Macaca mulatta: one gene and its partners. The protein of the gene in region 3 interacts with the protein of the main gene of each other region in a pairwise test. Links are inferred from orthologs where the notes say so. Each region holds a gene or a part of one and is shown on either strand. Other genes may lie near its edges. The genes, in order: protocadherin beta-14-like, UBE2W and PSTPIP1.

Region 1 (4,161 bases), on a different chromosome or scaffold from region 3:
TGTCATGCTTATTTTTCTTGACTTTTCTGAGGCATTTGCAGCTGTCGATCTTCCTCGTCTCCTTAAAATGCTATTTGCTTTTGATTTCATGGTTTTGAACTCTGAGCCTTCTTTATCTTTTCAGATATGCTTCTTGCCCTGTCTCCTCTAAATGAAGATGTTTCTCAGACTTCTGTGCCAAGCCTCTTCTATACTTATTTGACACACTTCTGCTTGGTTATCCTAGAGCATTCATGGTTTCAATCACCATATATATATATACACATATATACTGATGAATCCCAAAGTTCATATCGTCAGCCCAGGTTTATTTCCTATGCTTTGGTTATAGGCAAACACACACACACACACACACATACACACACACACCACAAACACACAAACACACATCCTACAGGCGCTTACCTCAATATCAGCATGTTCAAAACTGACACTTCATCTTTTTGCACCCCAATCATGTTTTTTTAGCATTCCCTGTCCTAGCAAATGACACCACTAGTCATCGAGTTTCCCAGTCCGGAGGTGTGATATCATCTCTGAGTCTTTCCCCTTTTTCTCCCCATGCAACCTATCAACCAACAGTTGAAAATATTTCATCTCCTCATACCTTTCTACTCATCCCTCTTCTCTGTATCCGCACTGGCATTATCCTCTTCCAGACTACCATCATCTCTTATCTGATCTCCTTGATTCTCCAGTCTTTCCCCCTGAAATTAATTCTCCATACTTCAGCCAAACTGATTTTTTAAATGCAGATGTGATCATGTTAATCAGACATTTAAAACCCATCTTTGTACTTGAATTACATTTAGGATAAATGCAAGAACGCATGATATGACCTGTATAATGATTCACATTCTCACCCTGCTTTCAACCCTAATTTCATTATTAGACCCTCCCTTTCCACAGTTTTTAAAGTCCAAGGCATACTTCACTTCTCTGTGTTCCTCAAAATGCCCATCTGAAATATTCCTCCTTCTCCTGGCTAGTTCCTTCAGATCACAATGTATTATTCATTACGTCAGGAAAGCTTTCACTGATGTCCCAAGTCCTATTTAGATCTTAATTATTTTATTTTTGACAGACACTTAACCAGCACTTACAAACCACTTGGTAAATATTAATTCACTAGATGCCTATGATAATAATCATGGGAGGCAAATATTATTATTACCCCATTTTACAGGTGAGGAAACAAAGATATCTATAACTTGCCCAAGCTTATAGTGAGTTACATAACCAGGATTCTAATATTGATAATTTGGTTCCAGATCCCATATTCCTAAGCACTAAAGTATGCAGCCCATAGGTACAAGAAGCCCTTTCTAGATATTTCTATATTACTTTTTACAAATGCATACATTACGACATACTTCATTTACTTGTCTGCCAATTTTTCTAGCTTGTGAGCTCCATAAGAGCAAGGATTATCTCTAGCTTATTTGTGCCATGTCCTTCTTTGTATTTTCAAAATATGAAAGTGAAAAAAGTAATGACATTACTATGATTGACAACAAGTATTTACAAGAGTGAAAGAGAGAATATATTTGTAATTACTCAAGAAATGACTTAAATAAAAAATTATTTCTTCAGTTCAGAATATTTTAACAGATCCTTTAGTGTCGAGCATTCAAAACAGTGATAATGCAGTGTATAGACATTTTCTGGATTCAAATTCAAACAAACCATCAGCAAAGGACGTTTTGGAGAGAACTGGGGAAAACCAAATGCAGGATAAATTACATCGAGGAATTATTGCTCAAGTTGTTGATTGTGAACGTTATGTTGCAATTATCTTTTAGAATGCCTTATCTATTAGAAATACTTAGTAAAGTATTTAAAGGTAAAAAAAAAATGTTGTCTGGGATTTGTTTTGAATGTTCCGGATGTATTTATGATTTACTTTTTCAAAGAGGAAAACTTTTTAATGAAAAAAAAAAGAAAAAGAAAAAAAAGAAAAGCATAGAGACACATGGTGGCGCTACAGGATAAGACGAAAACTGTACATAGGCTGGCACAGTGAGCTTCGCTATTCAGAACAGAAAGCATCCAACCCACTGAAAAGACAGGCATTAAAGGAGCTTTGCCTACAGAGCTGCTGGAGGATACACTGTCCAGGGGGTTCCTATTAAAAACCAGAGCTTCAGCTTCCAAAATTAGGGCTGAGCTTCAATTTTTCCACAAGAGGTTGCCTAAAGGAACCATGGAGATCAGAGGGTCACTCGATCTACGAAAAAGGCAAGTTCTAATATTCCTTGTTTTGCTGGGATTGTCTCGGGCAGATACTGAATCTGCACACTATTCTGTGGCAGAGGAAACAGAAATTGGCTCATTTGTGGCTAATCTAGCGAGGGACCTAGGGCTGGGGGTGGAGGAGCTGTCTTCACGTGAAGCCCGGGTAGTGTCTGATGATAATAAAAAGTATTTGCACCTTGATTTGCTGACTGGGGATTTGCTCCTAAATGAGAAACTAGACCGAGATGAGCTGTGTGGCTCCACCGAGCCCTGTGTGCTGCATTTTCAGGTGGTTTTGGAAAACCCTTTACAGTTTTTTCGGGTTGAGCTGCATGTCAAAGACATAAATGATCACTCCCCTACATTCCTAGACAAGGAAATACTTATTAAAATATCAGAAGGTACCACTATTGGAACTACATTCCTAATGGAGAGTGCTCAAGATTTGGATGTCGGAAGCAACAGTCTCCAAAACTACACAATTAGCCCCAATTCTCACTTCCACATTAAAATTCCAGACAGTAGTGACAGAAAGATATACCCAGAGCTGGTCCTAGATAGAGCTTTAGATTATGAACAGGAAGCTGAACTCAGATTAACACTCACAGCACTGGATGGTGGATCCCCGCCCAAGTCTGGGACAACTTTGGTTCTCATTAAGGTGTTGGACATCAATGATAATGCCCCTGAGTTTCCTCAGAGTCTCTATGAGGTGCAAGTCCCCGAGGATAGACCCATTGGCTCCTGGATTGTCACCATCTCAGCTAAGGATCTGGATGCAGGAAACTATGGGAAAATATCTTACACATTTTTCCATGCATCAGAAGATATTCGTAAAACATTTGAAATTAATCCAATATCTGGGGAAGTTAATTTGAGATCACCCCTGGATTTTGAAGTGATACAGTCCTACACTATAAATATTCAGGCAACAGATGGTGGGGGTCTTTCAGGAAAATGCACCCTTCTAGTTAAAGTTATGGATATAAACGACAATCCACCAGAAGTGACCATATCATCGATTACAAAGAGAATTCCAGAGAATGCCTCAGAGACTCTAGTAGCTCTTTTTAGTGTAGTAGACCAAGACTCTGGAGACAATGGGAGGATGATTTGCTCTATTCAAGATAACCTCCCCTTTTTCCTGAAACCGACCTTCAAGAACTTTTTCACTCTAGTTTCTGAAAAAGCACTGGACAGAGAGAGCCAAGCAGAGTACAACATCACGATCACCGTCACAGACTTGGGGACCCCCAGGCTGAAAACCGAGTACAACATAACCGTGCTGGTCTCCGACGTCAATGACAACGCTCCCGCCTTCACCAGAACCTCCTACACCCTGTTCGTCCGCGAGAACAACAGCCCCGCCCTGCACATCGGCAGCGTCAGCGCCACAGACAGAGACTCAGGCACCAACGCCCTGGTCACCTACTCGCTGCTGCCGTCCCAGGACCCGCACCTGCCCCTCGCCTCCCTGGTCTCCATCAACACAGACAGCGGCCACCTGTTCGCCCTCCGCTCGCTGGACTACGAGGCCTTGCAGGAGTTCGAGTTCCGCGTGGGCGCCACAGACCGCGGGTCCCCGGCGCTGAGCAGCGAGGCGCTGGTGCGCGTGCTGGTGCTGGATGCTAACGACAACTCGCCTTTCGTGCTGTACCCTCTGCAGAACGGCTCCGCTCCCTGCACCGAGCTGGTGCCCCGGACGGCCGAGCCGGGCTACCTGGTGACCAAGGTGGTGGCGGTGGACGGCGACTCGGGCCAGAACGCCTGGCTGTCGTACCAGCTACTCAAGGCCACGGAGCCCGGGCTGTTCGGTGTGTGGGCGCACAATGGCGAGGTGCGCACCGCCAGGCTGCTGAGCGAACGTGAGGCGGCCAGGCATAGGCTGGTGGTGCTGGTCAAGGACAATGGTGAGCCTCCGCGCTC
Region 2 (3,647 bases), on a different chromosome or scaffold from region 3:
TTAAAAGTTCTCCAAATACTAATTTACTAAAAATGACATTCAGTTCAACTTGGAGAAAAGGGAAGAAAATTGTAAAACACAAATAGCTCCCTAACCTCTAGGGCAAAGCTGTTTAAAACAGAATGCAAAAGGAAACCCTCATGGGGATTTAGGAGGGGTTTTAAAATGTAGAAATACATAAATGTTATGCTATACTAACCCTTAAGCAGGAATGACAAGAAGGTCAGAAGTGCACAGAGGATTCAGACACATTTAAAGGGTATCCTAAACTTATATATATATATTTTAAAAATTTATTTTATTATTATTTTTTTGAGATGGAGCCTCGCTCTGTTGCCCAGGTTGGAGTGTAGTGGCGTGATCTTGGCTCACTGCAACCTCCGCCTCTTGGGTTCAAGCGATTCTCCTACCTCAGTCTCCTGAGGAGATGGGATTACAGGCATACACCATCACACCCAGTTAATTTTTGTATTTTTAGTAGAGACAAGGTTTCACCATGTTGGTCACGTTGGTCTCGAACTCCTGACCGCAGGTGATTCACCTGCCTAGGCCTCCCAAAGTGCTGGGATTACAGGTGTTGAGCCACCATGCCCGGCCTACATTTTAAATTTCATAAGTGATTTTTTTCTTTCTGTTTTTCCCTCCCCCCACTTCCATTAGACATAGAATCTGTGGATTAATAAAGGAGAACAGGAAGAAACATCCTGAAAATTCTACTGGTAAACTAGTCTTCCTCCTTCAACCTAATCATTAGGACAGGAAAGCTCTGGTTCCTGAAAAATTTCCTGAAACAGGCTGATAGGGTGGGAGCTGGCAGAGGGGAGAAGGAAGCTATGATGCACTTTTCTGAGGCTTTCCATTGTGAAATCTACAAAAAGAATTTCTTGTACACGTTTACCCTGTGCATGCTTTTGGGAATAAAATCAGATTTAAGAACATACCGTACATTTCCTGTTTAAAAAAATATAAAACAGTAAATCTGGCTTCTACCCCATTCAACATGTAAAACTTCTATTTGGAATGAAAGGTATCAAAATAACTTTTGAATTTATTACTAAACATGAAATTCCCCATAATTTTAAGATAAAAAGCATAAGTCCTTCCTCTAAATAAAGAGAATTACATATTAAAATTATTTATCTACTTAAACTGAAAGAAGAAGAGATACTATCTGGAATAATTCTGAAAAGTCCTACCTTTTCCTTGCAGCTGGAAAGCATGCTAATAATGCTAAGACAAACTGATTGGACTGAGAGTGCTGGGGACCAGTCTTCTGTTAGAATGGATAAACAGATATGACCATTGCTATAAACATGAGGATGAACAGGAATATTTTCACCAGTAAACATGACCTAAGAGAGAATAAAATTCCATTAAAACTCAAATATTCTCTATTACCAAAAACTAAAATATTCTCCACATATAACAAGTATTCATTATTAAAAAAAAAAAAAAAACCACCAAAATCAGTGCCAGGAACATGATAAACAACTGCTTATTTGTTTACTCTCATTAACTCAGTAAGTATTGGTTTCACTGAATGAATAACCACGTAGTAGGGAAAAGAAGCCACATTATTTTTTATTTCTGTTATTTTTGATAAATTATCCTTAAAAATTCTAAAGTACTACGTATTTTTCACTAGTGAAAGACAACTACATTTATAAGAATGATTTTTCAAATTCTCTTCATTGCTCTCTGCATATAAAAATCAAGTATGTTAAAATTCCAAACAAAAATATTCAATTTTGGGAAAATATGAATGACAGGTGGTAGGAACACTCCTACTACTACTACCTGTTAACAATGTTAGCTCTAAGGTGCATGTGGCAAAGGGAAATGATTGTTATACATTCCACCTCGTCTAAACTTACACATCCATTATGATGGGCACAAGTTACTAGCTGTTAATCAGTAAATACCTACGTGCCTAGACGAAAAATACAAAAGTTGACCAAGTCTCCCAATTTGCAGTTCTACTCTCCTTTTCCTTTTACTCAATTCTTCTAACACTACTTTTCCTTTCTCTATCTTGTCTCAGCAATGTTTTGAATGGTAATAAATCTATTATTTCATTCCTTTGCTCTAATAATTCAACAAATATCTTACAGTAGTTTTTCTTAAACTTATTTACCTAAGCAAATAGGCAGGAGAATAAATTCATGTATCCTGAGGAATCTGTAAGCATAGTCCAAAGTTGCTCAAAGAAAGCAGAAGTCTTATGTTTACACTGTGTCTGTATTTATTCTGCAGGTTAGCAGTAGTTCCTAATTCCTGACCTTGCCAAAAAAACAAACAAAAAAACAAAACAAAAAAAACCACATAGCTGGAATATCTGCTTAAAAATACAAATTCCAGTGTCCTACTTTCACAGATTCTGATTTAGTAAGTATGATGAGATTTTTATAGAACTCATCAGATATAAACCAACAATTCCTAAATCAGATTTACAGTATCTCTCTCAGCCCTGCAAACCGCCTCACACCAAGTACAGCAGAATATCAGTAAGGAGAAATCTTACCTTAAGTTGTAGCACAAACAATAAAAGATATACAGTATTGCTTTAGGCATACCCTTTTTTCTCTTTATAGAGCAGAAAAAAGAACCAGTGAGGTAAATATGAATAGAATAAGGTATGCTATAGTTTAATATGGAATATGTTATAGGAAATTACCATAAGCTAAGGTTTTATATATATTTTCAATATCTAGCTATGAATCTGATTTTGTTACAATTTTACAAAGATTTACATGTTAATAAAGCAGTCTTTCATATGAGTAGGAGTCTTCTAATATTTCAGATATATTAACCTATGGGACATATTTCCTTGACTAAGACTAGATAAGACAGCAAAGAGCATTTTTTCCCCAAAGGAACGATTTTCCATATTTGCATGTATTTCTTTTCTTTAAATTCTGGACATCAACCCTCCATTCCCACTAATTAAAAAAAAAAGCTAAAAAACAAAAGTAACGTCTCAAAATAAGAGAAATCAAGTCACTTATCCTACCTAACTGCAGAAGACTCCCTGAAAGGACTTTGACTTTGTAATGGCTATGCTCTAAGCATGCCATTTATCTCAATTACATCTATCAGTGCTAGTACCCTCTTAATTACTTTTTGCTAAAAAAAAAGTACTGTTCTGTAAAAGAAAACAAACGCTTAAATGGTCTTATAGTTCCACACTGGAGTCTGTCCACAAGTGTTTTTTAGTGAAATTTTATTTTTAATAAATATGAACTATAGTTTATTACATCATATGCATCTGATATTCCCATGTGTTGTAGATGTACAGAATGGGAGTTTACAAATCTTACGGATACATGCCTTGGGGTATTCATTTTGCCATAAAAAGCCATTTGATAATTAGGATATTTTCATTAAAACACAAGCAATACCCAAGAGTTTCTTCTTTGGCCACGATTATTTTTTTTAAAGATATTTTTCGGTGTGGCTCATGCCTGTAATCCCAGCACTTTGGGAGGCCAAGGTGGGTGGATCACCTGAGGTCAGGAGTTTGAGACCAGCCTGGCCAACATGGCGAAACCCCGTCTCTACTAAAAAACACAAATAATTAGCTGGCAGTGGTGGCACGCGCTTGTCATCCCAGCTACTTGGGAGGCTGAGGCAGGAGAATCCCTTGAACC
Region 3 (4,356 bases):
CTCTCCAGGGGTTCCTCCCATTACTTCCTTCCCCAGTTGCTCCAGCCCATCACCAGCATGGCCCTCCATCCGGAGCTGCCCTGGCTGGACAAGTGCAATTGGGAAACGAAGGCCTCATGTGTGGGAGCCTTGAGGTTGGCTTTGAGGGGTGGGAGGATTTGCCAAGGTAAGGAAGATCAAGGAAAGCTTGCCAGAGGGGAGGCTGGGAACAGAGCAGGTGGGAGTGGGAAAGGTGCCTCTGGGGAGAGGGAAGAGGCCTGGCCGGAGCGGAAGCCTCTGGGAGGTGATGGGAAGGACACCTAGAGAGGCAGGGCAGGGAGCCCAGCTGTGAAATTTTCTGCCAATAAGAGGGCAGGAGACTTCTGTTAACAGAGGGTCTCTACACTGCTCCAGACCTAGAAGCATCATCCCATCTGATGGATGGAGAAACTGAGCTCAGGGAGGCTGAGCCAGTGCTATCAGAGGTGGTGGTGCCATTGGGAGGGGAGGTGCAGCCTGCCTCACTCTATGGCCTACAAAGTTCAAGGGGATTTTTACACTGTTAGTTATCTTCAGCTGCAAGTAACAAAAAACCTGACTGGGGTGCCTTACAGATTAAAGGTTAGCTCAAGTCCAAGGTTTCTGGAGGTGAGGGCCTTCTGGGGGCAGTCCCATTGCTCTGCAATTCTCCCCAGAGTGTTTCCTCTTGGGTGGCTATTTCAGAGACTGGGTGTGCACCTCTCTCTAAACCCTGGGCATGCATAATGGGCACTTGGGAGCTCAGCTATTTCATCTGCAGCAACTCTCATCTACTTACCACCCCGTCAGCTGTAAGGCAGACATCAGTGAGGGTGGTGATCTGTGGACAATCCCTGACTCATCCCATTTTGCCAGCCTGCCCTGGGCTCAGGACTTCCTGCTGCATCTTCTGCTGAGGGGGCAGGGCCTGGCTCCTCAGGGCTGGGGTAGGGGTTCTAGTCCAGGGCTCTTCCTCAGGTGGTACCACACAGTGCCCCCAGCACCTGCACACCAAACTGGAAATTCCAGAAATATTCTTGACACCGTCTCCTTTCCAAAGACTGGGTGTGGCAGATGAGGAAGCTGAGGCTCAGCGAGTTGGAGAGTCTATTAAGGTCCCTCAGCCCTTGAAGGGTAGGGTCAAAATGAAAAAAAACTGGGCCTCAGGCTGGGTTTCCAAACACCCTACTCTGTACCTTGATAATACTGTTTCTCTCTCCGTCTATTCCCATTCACTGAGCCGGAAGTCTCCATCTTCAGAGGGGGGTTTTCTGCCCCAAACAGTGTCTAATCAGGAGACTTGCGGCAGTGGCGGTGGTGGGGGGTGGGGGGCAGTGCCGGGGCCTCAGGCTGTTCTCCCTCATCTTGCTGCCTGCTCACCTCACCTCTGTGTGCTCACAGCCCCCCAGAGCACAGCTGTGTCTGCCCCCAGACTGTGGGACCCTTGAGGGCAGGACCTGGTTCGGGTCCCGGAGCAGCCGGGTTTTGATGCATGACAGATGCCCTAGGCCTGGGTAAGCCCCTCAAGAATGGTTTGCTTGTGCGGGGTAGAGAGCCTGGCATCTCTGGGCCCAGCCTGGAAGGGCGCTGGGCTGGCTGGCCAGTGACACACCTGGGGTTCCTGGGCCCCTCCTGGCCACACTGTCGGTGGGCCTCAAGCTCCCTTAGCATATGACCTCTGGAATAGTGAGCCCGCGCCTCTGGAGGGGCAAGCAGAGGCAAGAGCAGGATGGCAGGTGGCAGGCGGGGCTGCACAGGGGAGCACAGCAACTCCACTTCCTGTGGGCGAGGGCCCCGCGCCCGCCCGGGGGGAGGTTGCACAAACCTTCCTGCGCAGGCCTCGGGCTGCCTGCCTGCCTGGCCTGAACTCCAGCCTGCCTCTTCCACTGGCCACTGCCTCCCACACAGGGCTGGCATCCCTGTTCCCTGCTCTGGGTCCCAGACTGTGTCCTCCATCACCGCAGGGTCGGCGAGGGGCTGGGCTGGACACCAGGGCCCGCCCTCCCATCACTGAGCTCCACTCCTTCCTCATTTTGCTGCCGATTCTAGCCCCAAACAAAACAGGTTGAGCCTTTTCCTCCCCTCGGCAGCTCCTCTCTGGCTCATGGCTGCCTTCTGAGTGCTGCAGACGGCGCCGGGCGGGAAGGGGGGCCTGGGCCAGCCCTGCCAGGACTGGGACGGTGCTGCTGGCGCCTGGCCCTCCATCAGGCCAGCCTGTGGCAGGAGAGCAAGCTTTGCCGCGGCAGACGCCTGAGGATGATGCCCCAGCTGCAGTTCAAAGATGCATTTTGGGTGAGTGAGGATGGTTGGGGGCACTGAACAAGTGGAGCGGGCAGAGCTAGGCTGAAATCTCCATGCAGGTGATGGGGTGCGGCTCTGAGAGGGGAGCTTTCTCATAAAATAGTGGTTGATTCTTGGTCTTAATAGTCATGGAGGTGACCCGGGCCCCCACCCTTCTGGATTGGAAGGCAAGTGGACTCCATGAATGAGGGTCCTCCTTTCTGCTGCCCCAGCTGTATTCTCCTCTGGGAGACCTCTCCCCACAGCAGGAGCTCCTCAGCAGAGGGTAACACATGGGTGGGGGCTTGAGGAGGATGTGTGGGGCAGCAAAGGAGGGGTCACAGATTTAGAGACCAGACAAACTTGGGTTCAGGTCTTGGCTCTGTTACTTATAGGCTGGGCAAGTCATTTCTGTCTCTGAACCTCAGTCTCTCCATCTATATAATGGGGATAAATAAAAATCAACACACCAACTAAAGCATTGGATCAGCAAGGGGATCCAGTGCACTAAAGACCCCAGCCCCTTGCCTCACTCCAAATGGTAATTCTCTTTCCCTCACCCAGCCCCTTGTCCCTTGCAGACCTTAGGGATCCTTCAAGGAGGCAGCCAGGCGGGCAATTGCTTGCTTACTTTCTTAAATTCAACACAGGCTTAAATCAAGTCATTTCCCCCATGAAATAAGGGCGCCCAGCCAGTGGTAGAGGTAAAGTGACTTGGCCCGGGCCACGTGGCCTGCAGCCCAGCTTGGACCCCCGGATCATCTCAGCATTTTTCCAGCTGTCCTTCAACTCCCCCTCTGCCCCTCAGCTCCAGCTGTGCCCAGGGCTCTGGGGAAAAGCTGAGACCTCTCTGGTTGGAGCTGGGGAATATGGCTGTCCTGGGGTGCTGCCTCCAACCCCGAAGAGGACTCTCTGGCCCTCGGCTCAGCCGGCTGAGCCCCAGCCAACTGCCCTGCCCTCCCTGGGCCCTTTCCTGGGGCTGCAGCCAGGAGGATGAGAGCCACGGAGCCAGGCCTTCCTTCCCTTCCGGCCAGCTCCACTTGGGGCCTGTGGCCAGCGTGTGAATGTTCTGCTTCCTCTGCACTGACTGCACAGTAGGCAAAGGACCCCACATGGGGAGGGCACCCTGTGCCTTTCTGGGCCTCAGTTTCCCCATCTCTACAAAGACAGGGTGGGCGCAGCCCAGAGAATCGAATGGAGGCAGAGCTGCCTCAGCCCATCCGGAGGACCAGGCACCAGGATGCTCAGGGCCCAGGCTGGCAGCTGGAGCCCTGGGTGGTGGGGGTTGTGAGTCACCACCTTGCTGCCCTGCCTTGGTGTGCAAAGTTGGGGGAAGGGGTAGGGCCTGGAAACCCAGTCCACTCTAGCCCAGGGCAGGCCAGGACCCCTTGACTATCTTATCACCGAGACCTCTGTCCAGGCCCAGAGCCTAGTGCAGAGCTGGGCAAGGAGCAGCCCCTATGGCAGGATCTGGGCACAGGTAGGGGTGGCGTATAAGGGATCAGGGTGTGGCAGCAGCAGCAGAAGCAAGCAGCCAGCGCCTGTGGAGCTTCCTGAGCGGCATCCTGCCCACACTCTGAGCTCGTCGCACCTCTGGGCTTCCTGGTCTCCAAGTGCCTGCTCTCCTCTGTGGCTGGCTTCCTGGGTCTGGGGTGGGCATATAGTTTCCCTAGGGAAGGCCAGAGCAGGAAGGGGAGAGAAGTAGCCAGTGGGAACCTTTCACACTGAGTCTGGGCCGACGCCCCGAAAGGTCACTGTACGCATCAAGGCATCACCTGCCCCAGGGCTCTGGATTCTAATACCTCTTCCTGATGCTCAGCCCATCCCAGTGCATAACAACTAACATTTGCTGAGCACAAAAGATGTGCCAGGCGCTGTTCCCAAGATGAATGCATATTCACTCATTCAATCCTTCAAACAGATGCTACTGTTCTCTCTCTTATTCAGATGAGGAAATTGAGGCACAGAGACATTAAGAGACTTGCGCAAGGTCACACTGCTGGGATTAAACCCTGGCAGGCTGGCTCCAGCACCTGTGTTGTCGCAGGATCCCTCTATCTTTCATATCACTGGATCTTT

What was found.
Region 1: the proteins of PSTPIP1 (region 3) and protocadherin beta-14-like interact in binary tests that used the Homo sapiens proteins (3 or more experiments, as listed by UniProt). The two-hybrid records come from large-scale screens. The link is inferred for Macaca mulatta from reciprocal best matches to the Homo sapiens genes PSTPIP1 and PCDHB14.
Region 2: the proteins of PSTPIP1 (region 3) and UBE2W interact in binary tests that used the Homo sapiens proteins (3 or more experiments, as listed by UniProt). The two-hybrid records come from large-scale screens. The link is inferred for Macaca mulatta from reciprocal best matches to the Homo sapiens genes PSTPIP1 and UBE2W.

What each region holds. Positions count from the first base shown.
Region 1 is NC_133411.1:150,059,971-150,064,131, forward strand, and holds the start of protocadherin beta-14-like, read left to right. Parts: upstream 1-1,300; 5' UTR 1,301-2,203; coding exon 2,204-4,161. UniProt on the Homo sapiens protein: Potential calcium-dependent cell-adhesion protein. May be involved in the establishment and maintenance of specific neuronal connections in the brain.
Region 2 is NC_133413.1:84,394,096-84,397,742, forward strand, and holds part of UBE2W (ubiquitin-conjugating enzyme E2 W), read right to left. Parts: intron 1,353-3,647; coding exon 1,197-1,352; intron 1-1,196. UniProt on the Homo sapiens protein: Accepts ubiquitin from the E1 complex and catalyzes its covalent attachment to other proteins.
Region 3 is NC_133412.1:55,136,149-55,140,504, forward strand, and holds the start of PSTPIP1 (proline-serine-threonine phosphatase-interacting protein 1), read left to right. Parts: upstream 1-1,485; coding exon 1,486-1,511; intron 1,512-1,777; exon of another isoform or gene 1,778-2,087; coding exon 2,088-2,289; intron 2,290-4,356. UniProt on the Homo sapiens protein: Involved in regulation of the actin cytoskeleton. May regulate WAS actin-bundling activity. Bridges the interaction between ABL1 and PTPN18 leading to ABL1 dephosphorylation.